Linked DNA regions of Stegostoma tigrinum. The protein of the gene in region 1 binds, or shares a complex with, the protein of each later gene. Links are inferred from orthologs where the notes say so. Each region holds a gene or a part of one and is shown in the gene's direction. Other genes may lie near its edges. The genes, in order: pigh, dpm2 and phosphatidylinositol N-acetylglucosaminyltransferase subunit Y-like.

Region 1 (6,706 bases):
CCCTAGTTTTGAACTCACCCACCCTAGGGAAAAGACCTTTGCAGTTAACTTATCCATGTCCCTCCTGATTTCAAAAAATCTTTAAGATCACTTGTCAACTCCTACACTCCAGTGACAAAATTCCCAGCCTATTCCATTCCCAGCAAAATCCTGGTAAATATTTTCCGAACCATCCTTCAGCAGGATGACCTGAAGTGTACACAGTACTCCAAAAATGGCCTCACTGACATCCGGTACAACCTCAGCATGACTTTCCAAATCCTCTACACAAACATCTGAGTGATGAAATCAAGCTTGCTAAACACCTTCTTAACAAACACACACACATACACCCCTTCTTAACCAAACTATGTCTTATGCAGCTTTCAAAGGATTGTTACCTGAACCCCTCTGTCTCGCTGTTCGGCGACACTACCCAGGGCCCTACCATTAACTGCGTATGACCTGCCCTTGTTTGTTGTAGCAAAATGCCATACCTTGCATTTATGTAAATTAAGCTTCATCTGCCAATCCTCGGCCCATTGGCCAATTGATTGCAATTTCCTTTGTAATCTTACATAACTTTCTTCACTGTTGACTATGTTCTAGATGGAACCGGTCATGAATTTGGAAGGTGCAGTCTGATGGTCTTTGAACTTCTGCAGTGCATCTTACGTAGACAGTACACAATGCTGTAACTAATCATCGGTGGCATCAAGCTGTGTTAATGGAGCTGTAACTAGTCAGGCACCTGGCCAGTATTCCATCACACCCCTGACTTATGCCCTGTAGATGATGGACAGGCCTTGAGGAGTCAGGAGACGAGTGTTTTTAACCTCTGAACTGCTCTTGTAGCCATTCAGTTATTTATATGGCAAGTCCAGTCGCGTTGCTGCTTAATTGACACCCCGCCCCCGTCACAACCACCCAAAGAGGATCCCCCTCGTTCTTACACACCACCCCACCAACCTCCGGATACAACGCATCATCCGCCGACACTTCCGCCATCTACAATCCGACCCCACCACCCAAGACATTTTTCCATCCCCACCCCTGTCTGCTTTCCGGAGAGACCACTCTCTCCGTGACTCCCTTGTTCGCTCCACACTGCCCTCCAACCCCACCACACCCGGCACCTTCCCCTGCAACCGCAGGAAATGCTACACTTACCCCCACACCTCCTCCCTCACCCCTATCCCAGGCCCCAAGATGACATTCCACATTAAGCAGAGGTTCACCTGCACATCTGCCAATGTGGTATACTGCATCCACTGTACCCGGTGCGGCTTCCTCTACATTGGGGAAACCAAGCGGAGGCTTGGGGACCGCTTTGCAGAACACCTCCGCTTGGTTCGCAACAAACAACTGCACCTCCCAGTCGCAAACCATTTCCACTCCCCCTCCCATTCTTTAGATGACATGTCCATCATGGGCCTCCTGCAGTGCCACAATGATGACACCCGAAGGTTGCAGGAACAGCAACTCATATTCCGCTTGGAAACCCTGCAGCCTAATGATATCGATGTGGACTTCACCAGTTTCAAAATCTCCCCTTCCCCCACCGCATCCCTAAACCAGCCCAGTTCGTCCCCTCCCCCCACTGCACCACACAACCAGCTCAGCTCTTCCCCTCCACCCACTGCATCCCAAAACCAGCCCAGCCTGTCTCTGCCTCCCTAACCTGTTCTTCCTCTCACCCATCCCTTCCTCCCACCCCAAGCCGCACCTCCATCTCCTACCTACTAACCTCATCCCACCTCCTTGACCTGTCCGTCTTCCCTGGACTGACCTATCCCCTCCTTACCTCCCCACCTATACTCTCCTCTCTACCTATCTTCTTTTCTCTCCATCTTCGGTCCGCCTCCCCCTCTCTCCCTATTTATTCCAGAACCCTCACCCCCTCCCCCTCTCTGATGAAGGGTCTAGGCCCGAAACGTCAGCTTTTGTGCTCCTGAGATGCTGCTTGGCCTGCTGTGTTCATCCAGCCTCACGTTTTATTATCTTGGATTCTCCAGCATCTGCAGTTCCCATTATCACTAAATATTAGCCCCTTGATTTTGATAGTGAGGGAAGTTCCCCATTTTCATGATGCTAGCTGCAAAGTAAGTGCACCTTGGCACCTTTCAGTTGTTTGAAGGTGCTCCTCCTGGTTGATTGGGGGAGGTGGCCTGTCCCTTTAAAAGGCCAGGTGTTCCCACGCAGTCACGTGGACAGGCGCACCCAGCGGCGTGACGTCACCAGCAGGGCTTGGGAGACATGGCGTCGACTTTCAAAGACCTAAGCGGCCGCTGCATCACCCTCGAACAAAGACACCACTCGCCGCTCTGCCGCGAGTTCACAATCCTGTCGCCGAAAATGTCCCTGCGTTCGGTGTTGGGGTGCACGGCCGCCATCTGGCTGGTCGCTTACGCCATCTTTAACAGGACGCAGGTAGGTGGGTTGGCCCCGGGGGGGGGGGTGGGAGGAGGTGCGGACACCTACTAATTGGACGATGGGGCCTGATGACGTGTGTCCCAGTCCTTTAGGCGGGCAGCGATCAATTTGCGATTGGCTGACGCCCCAATCAGTCATAGCCTGGGAACGCCTCGTCCCCGGTGCTGTCCAGACCGATTGGCCCCTGCTCCTGTCGCGCAAGGTCGTGACCACGCCCCACTGCGTTGTAGGTGCGCAGTCCGGCTTCGCACATGCGCAGTACCCTAACAGGTGACTCCTCAGGGCTCAATAGGTGAGCGATGTGCTAGCATCCTCAACCTGGGAGTATTTGCAGGGCATGGCTAGGTACTAAATGAACACTTTATACCTGTCTTTTCCGTCAGTGACTCATAATGGGTGGACTAAATATAAATTCATTCCTTCACTCACGCACAGAACATGGGTAACACTTATTGTTTCCTCTCTAGCTACCCCTTAAGCTGGTGCTGTCGGTAGAGAGAGCCCTTAGGAAGGGAGTTCCAGGATTTTGACTGAATGACAGTGAAGGAATGTTGATATGTTTCTAAGTCTGTATTATGAGTGACTTGGAGTGGAACTTGCAGGAGGTGGTATTCCCATGTTTCTGTTGCCCTTGTCCTTCTAGCTTGATGTGGGTTTGGAAGGTACTGTGTAAGGAGTCCTAGTGAATTTTTGTAGTGCATCTTATTGATGGTACGCACTGCAGCTACAGAGCATTGGTGGATAGAGTGGCACTACATTCAAATTCAATCAGCCAACTGTTTTGACTTGGATCGTGTGAAGCTTCTTGAGTTGTTTGAACTGCACCCATCTCGGCAAGTGGAATGTTTTCTGTTATACGTCTGCCTTGTGCCTTGTAATGCCCGACAGGCTTAGGGAATTATGGGCATGCAAGAATTCTAACATTTGACCCACTTTTGTACTTGTATGACGAGACCAGTTTAGTTTCTTGTCAATGGATATTGATAGTGGGGATTCACTGGTAGCAGTGCTATTGAATACCAAGGGGTGATGGTTAGATTTTCTTTTGCTGAAGTGAGTGTGAGACATGCCATTTGTTAACCCACACTGAATATTGTCCACGACTTGTTGCGTTTGGACATGGCCTCTATCAGTATCTGAGAAGTAATGAATTGTGAACATTGTGCAATCATTGAGCATTCCCACTTCTGATGGAGAGAAGATCATTGACAAAAGCAGTTGAGTACAATTCTGCCATGGACACAACCTTGAGGAACTTGATAAAGACATAACATTAGACAGGCTGGTAATGAATTGTGAACATTGTGCAATCATTGAGCATTCCCACTTCTGATGGAGAGAAGATCATTGACAAAAGCAGTTGAGTACAATTCTGCCATGGACACAACCTTGAGGAACTTGATAAAGACATAACATTAGACAGGCTGGTTGTGCACTTAGTTGATTTATCCCCAGGACTGGATGCAGTGTGAAGAGTTGAAATTTCAGACTTGCTAGCCATAATCATCTTCTTTTCCTCAAATACTCATTTGTGCCAGAGGGCAAATGTTACACCCTTGTTGAGAAAGGATATAAAGGTAATCCCAACAGCTATTGGTCAGTCACTCTCTAGCCTCGCTGGTGGAAAGCAGTCGAGATAAAATAGGACATAATAAGCAGTCAGTAAGCAAGTGTGGATTAACAAACAAAAGTCAGCGTGGATTTATTTAAAGCAAATCATTTGACTAAGAGTTTTTTTTTCTGCGGCACTCACACAGAGAGTTGATGTAGTGTGAATCATCTTCCCAAAGCTATGTATTAGAGGGCCACATCCTGGCTCTGCAACAAAGCTAAATCCTGCAGAATAAAAGACATAGTGGTATCATTGGCTACGCAGTTAGCTGAGTGACAGGAGACAGTGTAGTAATAAAAAGCTGACTTTTGTTTTGCATAGGAGGGTTCCCTCAAGAATCAGTACCAGGATCATACTGTTAGTCTTGATCTATATAATGACAATAAACTTAACTGCACAGGGTGTAATTAGTAGATGACAAAAAATTGGAAGTATTGTTGTGAACAGTGAAGAGAAGTAATATACCTCAAGAGGACGTAGGCAGAATTATTGGTCAGACATATAGCAGACTGGATTAGATTCCCTATTGTTATTTCATAATAACAAATCTGTAGTGATGCATTTTAATAGGCAGTGATACAAAATAAAGGGCAGTTTCTAATACATGTGAGGTACTGTGAATGCTGGAGATCAGAAATAGAAGCAGAGAATGCTGGAGAAACTCAGCATCTGTAGAAAGTGAAACAGAGTTAACGTTGCAGGTCCATGATCTGTAATCAGAACTGGGTGCAGACCTGCTGGGCATTTTCAGTTTCCATTATTAAAAGTTCAAGTTGGCTTCGTGAACAGGTTGCAGGAACTGCCCTGATAGTCTTTGTTGCAAATTGCTTCTTGCAGAACACTCTAGTGCTCTCAGCTTCCATTGTTTTGACTCTCGTTGGGATGATGCTGCACCTCCACTTATTTAAGATTGATCAGGAGTCAATGCTGATCATTGGATCGATTGGAGTCCAGATGAACACCGTGTATGCTTCTGGCAGAGAGAGTGTGAGATTCATTGAGATGAGGAAGGTGAAAGATATTGTGATCAATGAAGCCATTTATATGGTAAGTGAGACGGAGTAATGATTCCTTAAGTTACTGACACTCTACTGCAGAGTAACAACAAATATGGAACCTGAACGTGAAGGACTGTTTAATGTTTGAACACTTTCCTTGTTTAAACTATTCAGTCCTGGAGAAACTGCATCTTCTGTCTTTAATGTTGTAATAAACACTACATGAAATTTGAGAATTGCATAGCTGCTGTCAGAAAATTGATAGGCCACAATCAGAATTCACATTGGTACAATGCTTTTCATCACCTCCAGTATCTCAAATTATTTTTTTTTCTTTTGAAGTGCCCTACTGTTGAAATGTGTGTTGGGAGTCAGACCATGGGTTTCTGGTGAGTGAGAGTGTGAGAGGACTGGTGATGTAACCTGAGGGCCACCACACCTCTAGTCTGGGGAGAGCTTGAGAAGGAGAGCCCTTCGTGGTAACCTCAGCTGATGTGGGGATTGAACCCACGCTCTTGGCATCACACTGCTTCACAACCCAACTTCCAGCCGCCTGAACTAAACTGAACACCATTGAAGCACCTAACTGGAAAATGAAATGCTGTTTCTTGAGCTTCCATTGCTGAGAGCTTCCCAACTCCCGTCAGCTAGGGTCATCAAAGAAAGGAAATTGCCATGCCACTCTGTTTTATCTGGTTTCCTGTTTTCCTCAAAACTTGTTAAACTTCTAATTTCTCCCAACTTTGACAAAAGATCTGAAATGACAAACTCCGTTTCTTGCTGCTTAGATGCTGCCTGTCCCCTTGAATGTTTCCAGCATTTTTCAGTTTTTATTTCAAGATTTCCAAGATCCACAGTATTTCATTTCTGGATCCATATGTATCGAAATGCTTTTGAATTGAAATTTTTTAAAAATTGGGTCGTGAAGTATTAAAGGAAGACAAAAATGTAAATTAAGAACATGTAAGCTTTCAGGATTATACACATTCAACGAAAGAATCTTTGAACAATATGAAATGTGTAGTTGTTCATGAAAAGCACTGGGGCAAGGTGGAGCAGACAGGATGCTGGAGACTAAAACGAATGTGAGAGAATGTGACAGATGGGGCAAGGGAGGAGAGGTGGGAATAGAAAGTCTTGACGGAGTGTCAAAACGGAAACAGGATTAAGTGTGTAGGAGGTGAAAAACAGATTGTTTTAAAAAAATATAACAGGTAAATGGGAAAGATCCGGATCTAAAAGACAATTTAAAACTGGAACGCAGAGGGAAAATTGCATTTGTTGGGGGAGGGGTTGGAATAATAGTGAAAATGAATAGGCTAAATGTTCAAAAAGAAGGTTGCAGAGCTAAGGGGAAGAAAGTAGTGGCTGAAGGAAACTGGAATTTAAAACAAAATTCTGGAAATACTCAGCCGTGTCTGGGGACAATTAAAATTTCTGGGTCTTTCAGCACAATTGATATTGACTGATCATCTGGACCTGGCTGCTCTGTAGGGAGGGGCTTCAGTCATCTGGCAGTGTCATTGAACTCTACAGGCTCCTTCGTATAGTGGGTGAGGGAAATCAAAGTAATAAAACAAACAGCTGCAGGTCTAAAACTGAAAGAACAATTGCTGATGAAAATCAGAGGGTCTGGCAGCATCTGTGTGAAGAAAGTAGAGTTAATGTTTCCAAACCAGTCCTG
Region 2 (6,706 bases), on another chromosome or scaffold:
AGGTAAGAACCACAAAGGGCATGAGGGGAGAATGGAGAGGCACCAGTGAGAGAACTGAGCACATGGTTAGTGCAGTCTTGTGGGGGGTGGGGGGGATGGTGGTGTTTAAAGGACATTTTGTCCAGGGGGCTGGAATGAAGGAAGATGCGGTAGAGCCAGCTGGCCAGAGGGTCTATATCAGAGTCTGGAAATATTCTAAGAGTTTCTAGAGCGCTGTTTACCTACAACCCCTCCTGGTAAAAGGGAGCATCAACACTAGCAGGGGCCTGATGGGCTGAATATGTGATTTGTGTTCAATTTGCACTGTGCCACAGCTTTGCCCTGCAGCTGATGAAGTGGTGTAACTCTCTAAATCTGCATGATGGCTGACTCATTCAGACAAATCTGACATAACAAGGTGTGGAGCTGGATGAACACAGCAGGCCAAGCAGCATCAGAGGAGCAGGAAAGCTAACGCTTCAGGCCTAGACCCTTCTTTCTACCAACTCTCTAATTCGGAGAAATGGTTGTCCAGGAGACAACGAGGAGGAGGAACTGTAGTTCTTGAAAATCAGAGAGTGGCACGAGTCAATCCATCACTTTGGAGATGAACTGGGACACTGGGCTACACAAAAGTTTAAGTTGAGGTTGAGAGACAGGACTACATTGGGGATAATAAAATGTGAGGCTGGATGAACACAGCAGGCCAAACAGCACCTCAGGAGCACAAAAGCTGACGTTTCGGGCCTAGACCCTTCATCAGCGAGGGGGATGGGGAGAGGGTTCTGGAATAAATAGGGAGAGAGGGGGAGGCGGACCGAAGATGGAGAGAAAAGAAGATAGGCGGAGAGGAGAGTATAGGTGGGGAGGTAGGGAGGGGATAGGTCAGTCCAGGGAAGACGAACAGGTCAAGGAGGTGGGATGAGGTTAGTAGGTAGGAGATGGAGGTGCGGCTTGGGGTGGGAGGAAGGGATGGGTGAGAGGAAGAACAGGTTAGGGAGGCAGAGACAGATTGGACTGGTTTTGGGATGCAGTGGGTGGAGGGGAAGAGCTGGGCTAGTTGTGTGGTGCAGTGGGGGGAGGGGACGAACTGGGCTGGTTTTGGGATGCGGTGGGGGAAGGGGAGATTTTGAAGCTGGTGAAGTCCACATTGATACCATTGGGCTGCAGAGTTCCCAAGCGGAATATGAGTTGCTGTTCCTGCAACCTTCCCGTGGCGTCATTGGGGCACTGCAGGAGGCCCATGATGGACATGTCATCTAAAGAATGGGAGGGGGAGTGGAAATGGTTTGCGACTGGGAGGTGCAGTTGTTTGTTGCGAACTGAGCGGAGGTGTTCTGCATAGTGGCCCCCAAGCCTCCACTTGGTTTCCCCAATGTAGAGGAAGCCACACCGGGTACAATGGATGCAGTATACCACATTGGCAGATGTGCAGGTGAACCTCTGCTTAATATGGAAAGTCATCTTGGGGCCTGGGATAGGGATGAGGGAGGAGGTGTGGGGGCAAGTGTAGCATTTCCTGCGGTTGCAGGGGAAGGTGCCGGGTGTGGTGGGGTTGGAGGACTAGATTGGGATTGGGTTTGGGCTGGGCTGGGTGGTTCGGGAGACAGTTTTGGGGTTAAGGAGGGCTGGGATATGCTGGGCTGGGCTTGGGGTTCAAATTTGGTTTGGAAGAGATGGTTTAGATTGTGAGACTGCTCAACTGAGTTGGTTTTGGGCCTGGGAAAATTGGTTAGATTGGGCTGGGATTTGTGATATATTTGCATTAGAAGATTGATTTTTGGTCTGGGAATGATTTGAAAACGGGTTTGAGAAAGGAGGTGGAGTGGAGAGATTTGGTGTTGGATGGGGCTGGGATTGGGGTTTGGGATAGCGGTGGAGCCAAGGGATTGGGATGGGGCGAGAAGATTGATTTTGCAATGACAAGAGGCTACCTCATGAGCTTGATGGAACGTACAGTTTTAACTTGATCATCAGACTGCAGGGACCTCTCCAGAAAGAGTTCAACAGATAGTATGGGACATAAACGAAAAGGGCGTGGGAATGAGAATTGATAATAATGCAGTGGCGGGAACAGTAGGGTTAGGATGGGGGGTTGGGTTTGGGATGGGGTGCAGGGATGGAGGATGAGGTTTTGGAGTGAGGGGAAGGGAATGAGGGGATTGGGACTGAGCACTGTGTTGGGGACAGGAGATGTGCAGGCTGGTGGTGGTGGAGAGTGGCATGGGGAAAGGGAATCAGTGACTCAGGGGAAACTACCGGCCCTCACCGACAGAGGGCGGTGCAGCAGCACCAGACGTCATTGCAGGCATGAGCGCGAGCGACACGGGGTGATGATTGATGGCGACAGGGGCCAATGGGAGAGAGGTGCCGCGGAAACGAGCAGGAATGGGGAACGGGGGGGCGGGGGAAATTAAACCTCCAAGGCGCTGATTGGTCAGGAACAAAGACGTTGCGTCTGACTCCGGAAGTGGAAGTTTGGCCGAAGCGAGTGGAGATGGTGAGTGAGAGAGGGTCAGTGCCGAGGGAGTGGACACTGTCAGAGGGTCAGTGCTGAGGGAGTGGACACTGTCGGAGGGTCAGTGCTGAGGGAGTGGACACTGTCGGAGGGTCAGTGCTGAGGGAGTGGACACTGTCACAGGGTCAGTGCTGAGGGAGTGGTCACTGTCGGAGGGTCAGTGCTGAGGGAGCGGACACTGTCACAGGGTCAGTGCTGAGGGAGTGGACACTGTCGGAGGGTCAGTGCTGAGGGAGTGGTCACTGTCGGAGGGTCAGTGCTGAGGGAGTGGACACTGTCACAGGGTCAGTGCCGAGGGAGTGGACACTGTCACAGGGTCAGTGCCGAGGGAGTGGACACTGTCAGAGGGTCAGTGCCGAGGGAGTGGACACTGTCACAGGGTCAGTGCCGAGGGAGTGGACACTGTCGGAGGGTCAGTGCTGAGGGAGCGGGCACTGTCGGAGGGTCAGTGCTGAGGGAGTGGACACTGTCACAGGGTCAGTGCCGAGGGAGTGGACACTGTCGGAGGGTCAGTGCTGAGGGAGCGGGCACTGTCGGAGGGTCAGTGCTGAGGGAGCGGGCACTGTCAGATGGTCAGTGCTGAGGGAGTGGGCACTGTCAGAGTGTCAGTGCTGAGGGAGTGGGCACTGTCGGAGGGTCAGTGCCGAGGGAGCGGGCACTGTCGGAGGGTCAGTGCTGAGGGAGCGGGCGCCGTCGGAGGGTCAGTGCTGAGGGAGTGGGCACTGTCGGAGGGTCAGTGCTGAGGGAGCGGGCACTGTCGGAGGGTCAGTGCTGAGGGAGCGGGCGCCGTCGGAGGGTCAGTGCTGAGGGAGTGGGCACTGTCGGAGGGTCAGTGCCGAGGGAGTGGGCACTGTCGGAGGGTCAGTGCCGAGGGAGCGGGCGCCGTCGGAGGGTCAGTGCTGAGGGAGCGGGCACTGTCGGAGGGTCAGTGCCGAGGGAGTGGACACTGTCACAGGGTCAGTGCCGAGGGAGCGGGCGCCGTCGGAGGGTCAGTGCCGAGGGAGTGGACACTGTCGGAGGGTCAGTGCCGAGGGAGCGGGCACTGTCGGAGGGTCAGTGCCGAGGGAGCGGGCACTGTCGGAGGGTCAGTGCTGAGGGAGCCGGCACTGTCGGAGGGTCAGTGCTGAGGGAGCGGGCACTGTCGGAGGGTCAGTGCTGAGGGAGCGGGCGCCGTCGGAGGGTCAGTGCTGAGAGAGCGGGCGCCGTCGGAGGGTCAGTGCTGAGAGAGCGGGCGCCGTCGGAGGGTCAGTGCTGAGGGACAGGGCACTGTCGGAGGGTCAGTGCTGAGGGAGCCGGCACTGTCGGAGGGTCAGTGCTGAGGGAGCGGGCACTTTCAATGGGTCAGTGCTGAGGGAGCGGGCACTGTCGGAGGGTCAGTGCTGAGGGAGCGGGCACTGTCGGAGGGTCAGTGCTGAGGGAGCGGGCACTTTCAATGGGTCAGTGCTGAGGGAGCGGGCACTGTCGGAGGGTCAGTGCTGAGGGAGCCGGCACTGTCGGAGGGTCAGTGCTGAGGGAGCGGGCACTGTCGGAGGGTCAGTGCTGAGGGAGCCGGCACTGTCGGAGGGTCAGTGCTGAGGGAGCGGGCACTTTCAATGGGTCAGTGCTGAGGGAGCGGGCACTGTCGGAGGGTCAGTGCTGAGGGAGCGGGCACTGTCGGAGGGTCAGTGCTGAGGGAGCGGGCACTTTCAATGGGTCAGTGCTGAGGGAGCGGGCACTGTCGGAGGGTCAGTGCTGAGGGAGCCGGCACTGTCGGAGGGTCAGTGCTGAGGGAGCCGGCACTGTCGGAGGGTCAGTGCTGAGGGAGCGGGCACTGTCGGAGGGTCAGTGCTGAGGGAGCGGGCACTTTCAATGGGTCAGCGCTGAGGGAGCGGGCGCCGTCGGAGGGTCAGCGCTGAGAGAGCGGGCGCCGTCGGAGGGTCAGCGCTGAGGGAGCGGGCGCCGTCGGAGGGTCAGCGCTGAGGGAGCGGGCGCCGTCGGAGGGTCAGCGCTGAGGGAGCGGGCGCCGTCGGAGGGTCAGCGCTGAGGGAGCGGGCGCCGTCGGAGGGTCAGCGCTGAGGGAGCGGGCGCCGTCGGAGGGTCAGCGCTGAGGGAGCGGGCGCCGTCTGAGGGTCAGCGCTGAGGGAGCGGGCGCCGTCTGAGGGTCAGCGCTGAGGGAGCGGGCGCCGTCTGAGGGTCAGCGCTGAGGGAGCGGGCGCCGTCTGAGGGTCAGCGCTGAGGGAGCGGGCGCCGTCTGAGGGTCAGCGCTGAGGGAGCGGGCGCCGTCTGAGGGTCAGCGCTGAGGGAGCGGGCGCCGTCGGAGGGTCAGCGCTGAGGGAGCGGGCGCCGTCGGAGGGTCAGCGCTGAGGGAGCGGGCGCCGTCGGAGGGTCAGCGCTGAGGGAGCGGGCGCCGTCGGAGGGTCAGCGCTGAGGGAGCGCCTCACGGTGGGAGGGTCAGTGTGGAGGTGGGTGCCGTGCTGTCCGAATTCCTGCTAATTGGACAGTTCCCTTGTGCTTTTGACTTGTCTCAGTCCGAATACTTGACATTTTCTGTTTGGATTTACTTACGTTTCCCTTTTGCCGCAACTGCTCCCGGTTTCCCTGTCTGCCCAAAACCTTTCATCTAACTCTGCGCCTTGTTATCTCCTTCCTTTTGTGTTTGATTTCCCCCTCTCAACAAACAGCAAAGCATTGTATTAGCTTTCCCAGTTGTTTGTTCTACTCAGCATTTCACCATTCTTCTGCACAATATTCCTGTGAACTAGATTGACTTTAGGGTGAGAAGGAAAGCAGGCTGTTTAAGATTGAGATGATCAAGAATTTCTTACCTGAGGAGGTGACTCTTTATGATTCTGTGCCTCAGAGGGCTGTGGGAGCTTCGTCGTACCCTAAGTACAGAGATCAATAAATTTATAGTTAGTTACGATAGTAAGGGATATGGGGATAGCTTAGCAAAGTGATGTTGTTGTCGATGATCAGCCATGATCTGGAATGCTCGGGCTACTTCAGGGGCTGAATAACCTACTTCTGCTCCTCTGTTTCCTTTTTCATAGTTTCTCACAAGTGAATAACATCTCACGGTCTTGACACTCTCTGCGTGAAGGAGCAATGACACGTTTCCAAGCCTGGATGGCGTGTCTTTCGGAGGGGAATTTGCAGGTGGTGGTGTCTCTGTGTGCCTGCTGCCCCCCTCTTTCTAGAGGTAGATATTGTGTGTTAGGAAGGTGCTGTTGAAGGAGACTTGGTGAGTTGCCCGAATGCATCTTGTTGATGGTACCATTCCCTTGTGCATTGGCGGAAGTGAAAGTTGAAGGTGCTAGTTTGTATGTCACTGAAGTGGTCTGTTTTGTCTCAGGGTGGTGTTGACGTTTTTGGATGTAGCTGGAGCTGCACACTTCCAACTAAGTGGACAGTTCCCTCATGCTTTTGACTTGTCTAATGAATAGTGCAGCAGGCTTTGTGGAGCTACTCAGCACAGGTCCAGGTAGGTTTCTGATCAGTGGTGAACCCAGGATGTTGACTATGAGGAATTCAACTGTGAGCGTCAAGGGGAGATAGTTAGATTCTTGCCTTTTAGAATGCTTGGCAGTTATTTGGTATGAACTTTACTGGCCGTTTATGAAAGGGCATGCTTTTCAATGTTTCTCCTTTAACCCCTCCTCTTTTCCTCTCTCAGGCAACAGGAGCAGACCAAGTGGTTGGAATGGGTCTGGTGGGGTTCAGCTTAGTGGTTTTCACATACTACACAATCTGGGTCATTGTTCTGGTGAGTGCTGATTTTAAAAGTATTTGACATCGATAGATTTAGATAGTTTAAATAATTCCATGAATCAGAAAGATAGTGAGAGTTTGGATTAATTTCCAGAATTGTTTAAGTTTCCTTTTTTTGTGACCCCTCAATTTACTGATTGTGATTAATCCTGGACTTTGACCCCACTTACTCACCTGCTGCCCATGTCCTTCAATTCACTGTGTCCAAAAGTCTATCAATCTCTGAATGGAAGTATTTAGTTTCAACGTAATCTAATATTAAACAGTTTCCGTTAAAGTAATGTCTAAATATTAGGCTATTGGCAAGGCAGTCGGTTCCAGAAGTTGCAGATTTCTATCAATAGGAAAGCTGGCAGTTTGATGAGTGTGTGAGCTAAGTTATGATCCAAAAGATATGCCTGAAAAAATTATGAAGCAAATTATGATATTAACTTCCATCATATAGAGACCTCCAAATAAGAT
Region 3 (5,338 bases), on another chromosome or scaffold:
ATATCCTATGTCTAGCAACAGGAGAACGAGTCGCTGAAAATAACTAGATTGCTGTTAAGAAGTGCTAGCACATTCTTGATCGTCTGAATGGTCTCCTCTTCACAATTCGGGATGGCGGAGCGGAATGGAGGCAGAGAGTAGGAACAATGAATTTGATTTTTGAGTTGAAGGGAACTGGAGCGGGTTCAGGGAAGGGATTGAACTGGCCTCAAAGCAGGATTTTGCAAAGTGAAAGACCGTTCCGAGGACCTTTAATGGAATCTGGGTTTCATTGTGGCCCTGGAGGAAGGTGGATAATCTCAGAGCACCTAATACTGCAAGGAGAGGACTCCCATCAGCTCTGTGGATGTTTCTACTGTGCAATGCCAACACAAAATGTTCTCTAAAATAATGCAAACAACTAGTATTTATATAGTGCCTCTCATTACCACCAAACGTCTGAAGATGTTTCTGAATTAGTGAAGTACCTTTCCACTGTTGTAATGTACAGATATGCAAACAAGGATGTGATATTGACCAGCAGTCTTTTTTCATGATGGAGACAGATGAACATTCTTATAGAAGAATGAGGGGGATTTATAAAAAACTTTTACAATTATGAAATGAGTCAATAGAAGCAAGGAGCATGTTTCCACTGGTGGGAGAAACTAGAACAAGAGGACATAGCCTCAAAATTACAGGAAGCAGATTTGGCACTGAATTGAGTTGTGAATTGGCAGAATTCTCTGCCCACTGAAGTAATTAAGGGTTAGAATGAGAGGGTGGATAAGTGGAGCTGAGGCCATGAAAATATCAGCGATAATCTTACTGAATGGCAGCTGGTCTACTCCTACACCTAGTTCTTATGTTCTGTGAATACCAGACAACTGTCCAGCTTTTTCTTTTGAATAGTACAGCAGTCCTTCTGTATTGAATTCCTGTCCCCAGATAGTGCCATGTTCCCTTAGTACTGTAGTGGCTGTATCCACCTAGGTTTGTAGACTCACATCTCTGGGGTGAGACTCAAACACCTGGTTTCCTGATTCTGATGTGAGTGTGCTTGCTAAGTGATGGGTTGTCAGCAGATTGACTGAACAAAAGCAGGATGTCTTGATGCCTTTAGACTGGAGGAATTTTTGTCTTGATTGTACACCAGAAACATTCAGAGTATTCAAATCAAAGGAAGTGGCTTGTGGGAAGTAAATAGATGCAATGGTTCTGCCTCCTTGATAGTATTGCCATTTATGTACTGTAGCCAGAGCAGGAATGGCTTTTTGGTTTGGGGCTGTTCGTTCTTCATTTTAGAAGCTCAGAACTGTTATACAATTGACTTCAATCCTGTTTAGTTAGAGGAGAGGGATGAAACGCCTACATGGATTCTTCATCCTGAAGATTTAGCAAGTATGTCTATGAGTGTCTTGACTGCAACACCATTCTCAATCAAATAGCTTACCATTTGCTTTTAAGATACTTGTGTAAATAATAATTTCCTTGTTGAGTCTAAGCTACAAATGATTGAAGAACTCCATCCCATCAAAAAGTAAACATCTTCAGGGAAGTGTAGAGAGAAGAATGGAAATACATACAAGATTAACAGTATCTGAACCAGAAAAGTGGGTTTGTTTAGCAGATCAATTCTGATCTCTGTACCAAAGGAAGTTGAGTTTAATAAAATTATCAGTTTGTTGTTAAAGATAACAATTTCCCCACATTTATTTTTCATGTTTTGTTTTGTTTTGTTTCTGTCCTGGCTATGTTTCACCTTTTAAATCAGTCAGTTAGCAACATACCCTCCCAAAGCTACAATTTTGCACAACAGCTTGGCAGTTCTCCCCACTGACCCTCGACCACAACACTTGTATTACATGCAATCAGCTGATGAAAATATCAGGTTTCTTGAGCTTGTGAAAGAAACTGTGTAAATGCAGAAGTGTTCGCTTGTCTTTCCAACTCTTTTGAAAATTGGAAATGTTTTGAGAATCATAGAAAGATATTGCCTTTTGAAACATAACATTTTCAACCAGATTAAAAGGGCAGACTCCAGTTCCAACTCATTTTGAATGAGCTGCAGTTTAATACTTTGCTTCTGTCACCTTTATAGATATGATGAATCCTCCAATCAGCTGATCAATGATGAGTTGGGAATAGCCTATCCTGTTGTCGATGGAATTCCCAACATGATCCCTCAGGATGCAAAGTTAATTCGCAAGAGTGAAGACACACCCAAGGCGGAAGAACTTTCACAGCAGTAAACGGATCACACATTGCTTCTGGAAGTGGTGGGGAACTCTGGAAGTTTGAGATTATTTTAAAGGGAGGGAGCTTATCTTGCGTATTGCAAGATAATGACAATCTATCTGTCAACTCTCACAGTGCTGGTTCCCCTGTTCTCTTTAGCTGGGCTGTTGTACTCAGCTGCATTTGACAAGGATTTTCCACAGGGCTGCACTAGTATGGCCAGCTTGTGTTTCTACAGCCTACTACTCCCCATCACTATCCCAGTGTTTGTATTTTTTCACCTATGGAGCTGGATGGGGATTAAACTTTTCAGGCATAACTAATTTGAGTTCAAAAGCTATTGCGTATGATGATGTTTGTGGTGACCTGACGGCATCAACCTCTCAAATGAAATTTAGTTTCAGTAACAAGGTTTTTCCATTGGCTTGGAGGTATTTAGAATCTTGAGTGTATTATTGGTGGAAATTGGCACTGTTTTGGTTAACTTGTTCCTTACACACAAAATGCGAGGCATTCACTTTTGCCTCATCATGGTACATTTTTCTGGTAATGTTCAGTTCCATTGGCTTCATTCCCAGTGACTGCAATGCAGGAGACATTAACAGGCAGTCCATTTGAACCAGTTCGATACGGATTTCTGTCTTGAAGAAACAGTGTAACCAAAGTCACATCAAATTCCACCACAATGTCAGATGCAAATAAACCATGGAAATTCATTATAACAAAGGTTTAGTTTTGGTGCTTTTGACCTTGCTTTCGAAGACACTTGCTGTTTGCCTGGGTATTTAGCCACACTTGTGGTCTGTATTTGAGTTTCCTTGCCTGTATTCTGTTACTTTCACACGTTGCTTGGTAGGTAGTACAATGATTTCTTGATTCAGAAGGTTGTAGTTTAAGTTCCATGTTTGCTGATACTCCAGTGTAGTACTGAGAAAATATCACATTGTCAAAAATGCTCTCTTTTAAATGTTAACCAAAGCCCTGTCTGCTCCCTTGTGTAGAAGTAAAAACTTCCATGGTGCTATTTAAAAGAAAAGCAGGGGAGTGTTCATTGGCTATCTGACTAATGTCTGTCCTTCAAGCAACAACATTTGAAAAAATAAACATGTTATCTGGCAAATATCATATCGATGTTTGTGGGAACTTCCTGGGCATATGTTGGCTGTCACATTTTCAATGGTTCAACCATGACTTCACTTCAAAAGTACTTCAGGATGGCCCAAAGTGTATTATAATTAATGAAATGCCTTATCAGGGGGAAGTAACAAAGTGCTGGAGGAAGCCTGGCAGCAGCTGTGGAGGGGGAAACAGAGCTAACATTTCAAGTGTAGAATGACTCTTCCTGCACTTGCAGTATTTTGCTTTTATTAGGACTGGGAGCCCTTCCTTTACTGAATTTTCTTCAGAAGAAGCTGGGCATAGAATAGGCTAGAATCAGTCTAGGTCAGAAGTTGCTGAAAACTTAATACAACCATGGAATGACCTGTCATTGTAAACTAAGTTACTGGTAATGAGCAGTTCGAGTCATCTACATGTTGAAAGCAGATGATTATTTCCATACCATGCAGTTTGAGTTATCTTTAAATAAAGCAATTTGAAGCAAATGTTTCATCTCCATCACTAGACTGTCTGGCTGTAGACTGGATATTTTTTACCTCAGTTAAGATGGGGTGAAGTTGACCAGAGATTGCAAATTCTGCTTCAATGGGATGCAGTGGGAGGAGGGGAGATATTGAAGCTGGTGAAATCCACATTGATACCATTAGGCTGCAGGGTTCCCAAACGGAATATGAGTTGCTGTTCCTGCAACCTATGGGTGACATCATTATGGCACTGCTGGAGGCCCAGGATAGACATGTGCATCCCAAAACCAGTCCAGCTTGTCCCTGTCTGCCTAACCTGTTCTTCCTCTCACCTATCCCCTCCTCCCACCTCCATTTCCTACCTACTAACCTCATCCTGCCCCCTTGACCTGTCTGTCCTCCCCGGACTGACCTATCCCCTTCCTACCTCGCCACCCGTACTCTCCTCTCCAACTATCTTCTCCTCTATCCATCTTCAGTCTGCCTACCACCCCCTCCCTATTTATTTCAGAATCCTCTCCCCATCCCCCTTTTCTGATGAAGGGTCTAGGCCCGAAACGCCAGCTTTTGTGCTCTCAAAATGCTGCTTGGCCTGCTGTGTTCATCCAGCCCCACACTTTGTTATTTTGGATTCTCCAGCATCTGCAGTTCCCTTTATCTCTGTTTATAAAAAGGAAATTGCTTGACAAATTCAAGGTTTGTTTTGATGTAACCAATGGTATAGACAAAGAGGAGCCACCTTGTTCTAGAAATCACCAGAGGAAACAATTTTTGTCTATCTCTTTATCATCTTAAACATTTCAATTCAACCACCCCTCAAATTGTTTTAATCAACCTATTCTGACGTTATCACCTTTGGAGCAGACGGGACTGGAATCCAAGCCTCCTGGCTATCGGCACAACCACTGTGCCAAAGGAGCACCTTTCTTAATTTTCTATAACTTGGCCAATAGTGATGTGGGAAACCTCATTTCATAATTTAACCTTCTATGTACTGGTTATCATTCTGAGGAATCTCTATTGAGTTACTCCAAGGCCAATATAGTAGAGGAGACAAGTGGTGTAATGGTACTGTCACTCGACAGATGGGTCAGAGGGTCAGGTTACTGTTTTGGGCACAAATGTTAAAATTTTACTACAGTGGCTAACATAAAACTAGCCTCCATAATGCTTTGTCAATTGTCATAAAGTCCCATTTGAACAAAGAATAAAACCACAGGAATGGAGCCCTTCGGCCCTCTAAACTTGTGGCCACTACATTTTGCTCTTCCATACTAAAACTGTCTTCACTTACAGGATCCATATACTTCTATTCCTTCCTATTCATGTATTCGTCCAGGTGCTTCTCGAATGCTGCTATTGTGCCGGATTCTACAACCTCCTCTGGCAGCACATTCCAGCCACTCACCACCCTTTGTGTGAAAAACGTGCCTCGCAAGTCTCTTAGAAAGTCCATCTCCTTACAAACCATCCCCCCCCCCCACCGACCACCACCACACCATGAACATGTGAACCCTTGTAACCGAGCCCCCACTCTG

The links.
Region 2: pigh (region 1) and dpm2 share a complex: the UniProt entries of both Homo sapiens proteins name them as parts of the glycosylphosphatidylinositol-N-acetylglucosaminyltransferase (GPI-GnT) complex. The link is inferred for Stegostoma tigrinum from reciprocal best matches to the Homo sapiens genes PIGH and DPM2.
Region 3: pigh (region 1) and phosphatidylinositol N-acetylglucosaminyltransferase subunit Y-like share a complex: the UniProt entries of both Homo sapiens proteins name them as parts of the glycosylphosphatidylinositol-N-acetylglucosaminyltransferase (GPI-GnT) complex. The link is inferred for Stegostoma tigrinum from reciprocal best matches to the Homo sapiens genes PIGH and PIGY.

The regions. Positions count from the first base shown.
Region 1 is NC_081363.1:80,338,025-80,344,730, forward strand, and holds the start of pigh (phosphatidylinositol N-acetylglucosaminyltransferase subunit H), read left to right. Parts: upstream 1-2,179; 5' UTR 2,180-2,235; coding exon 2,236-2,409; intron 2,410-4,861; coding exon 4,862-5,071; intron 5,072-6,706. UniProt on the Homo sapiens protein: Part of the glycosylphosphatidylinositol-N-acetylglucosaminyltransferase (GPI-GnT) complex that catalyzes the transfer of N-acetylglucosamine from UDP-N-acetylglucosamine to phosphatidylinositol and participates in the first step of GPI biosynthesis.
Region 2 is NC_081382.1:40,458,630-40,465,335, forward strand, and holds the start of dpm2 (dolichol phosphate-mannose biosynthesis regulatory protein), read left to right. Parts: upstream 1-2,440; 5' UTR 2,441-2,476; coding exon 2,477-2,479; intron 2,480-3,364; exon of another isoform or gene 3,365-3,453; intron 3,454-6,149; coding exon 6,150-6,239; intron 6,240-6,706. UniProt on the Homo sapiens protein: Regulates the biosynthesis of dolichol phosphate-mannose. Regulatory subunit of the dolichol-phosphate mannose (DPM) synthase complex; essential for the ER localization and stable expression of DPM1.
Region 3 is NC_081370.1:36,825,293-36,830,630, forward strand, and holds phosphatidylinositol N-acetylglucosaminyltransferase subunit Y-like, read left to right. Parts: upstream 1-2,324; coding exon 2,325-2,540; 3' UTR 2,541-3,342; downstream 3,343-5,338. Other genes in the region: protein preY, mitochondrial-like, read left to right, coding at 2,081-2,231. UniProt on the Homo sapiens protein: Part of the glycosylphosphatidylinositol-N-acetylglucosaminyltransferase (GPI-GnT) complex that catalyzes the transfer of N-acetylglucosamine from UDP-N-acetylglucosamine to phosphatidylinositol and participates in the first step of GPI biosynthesis.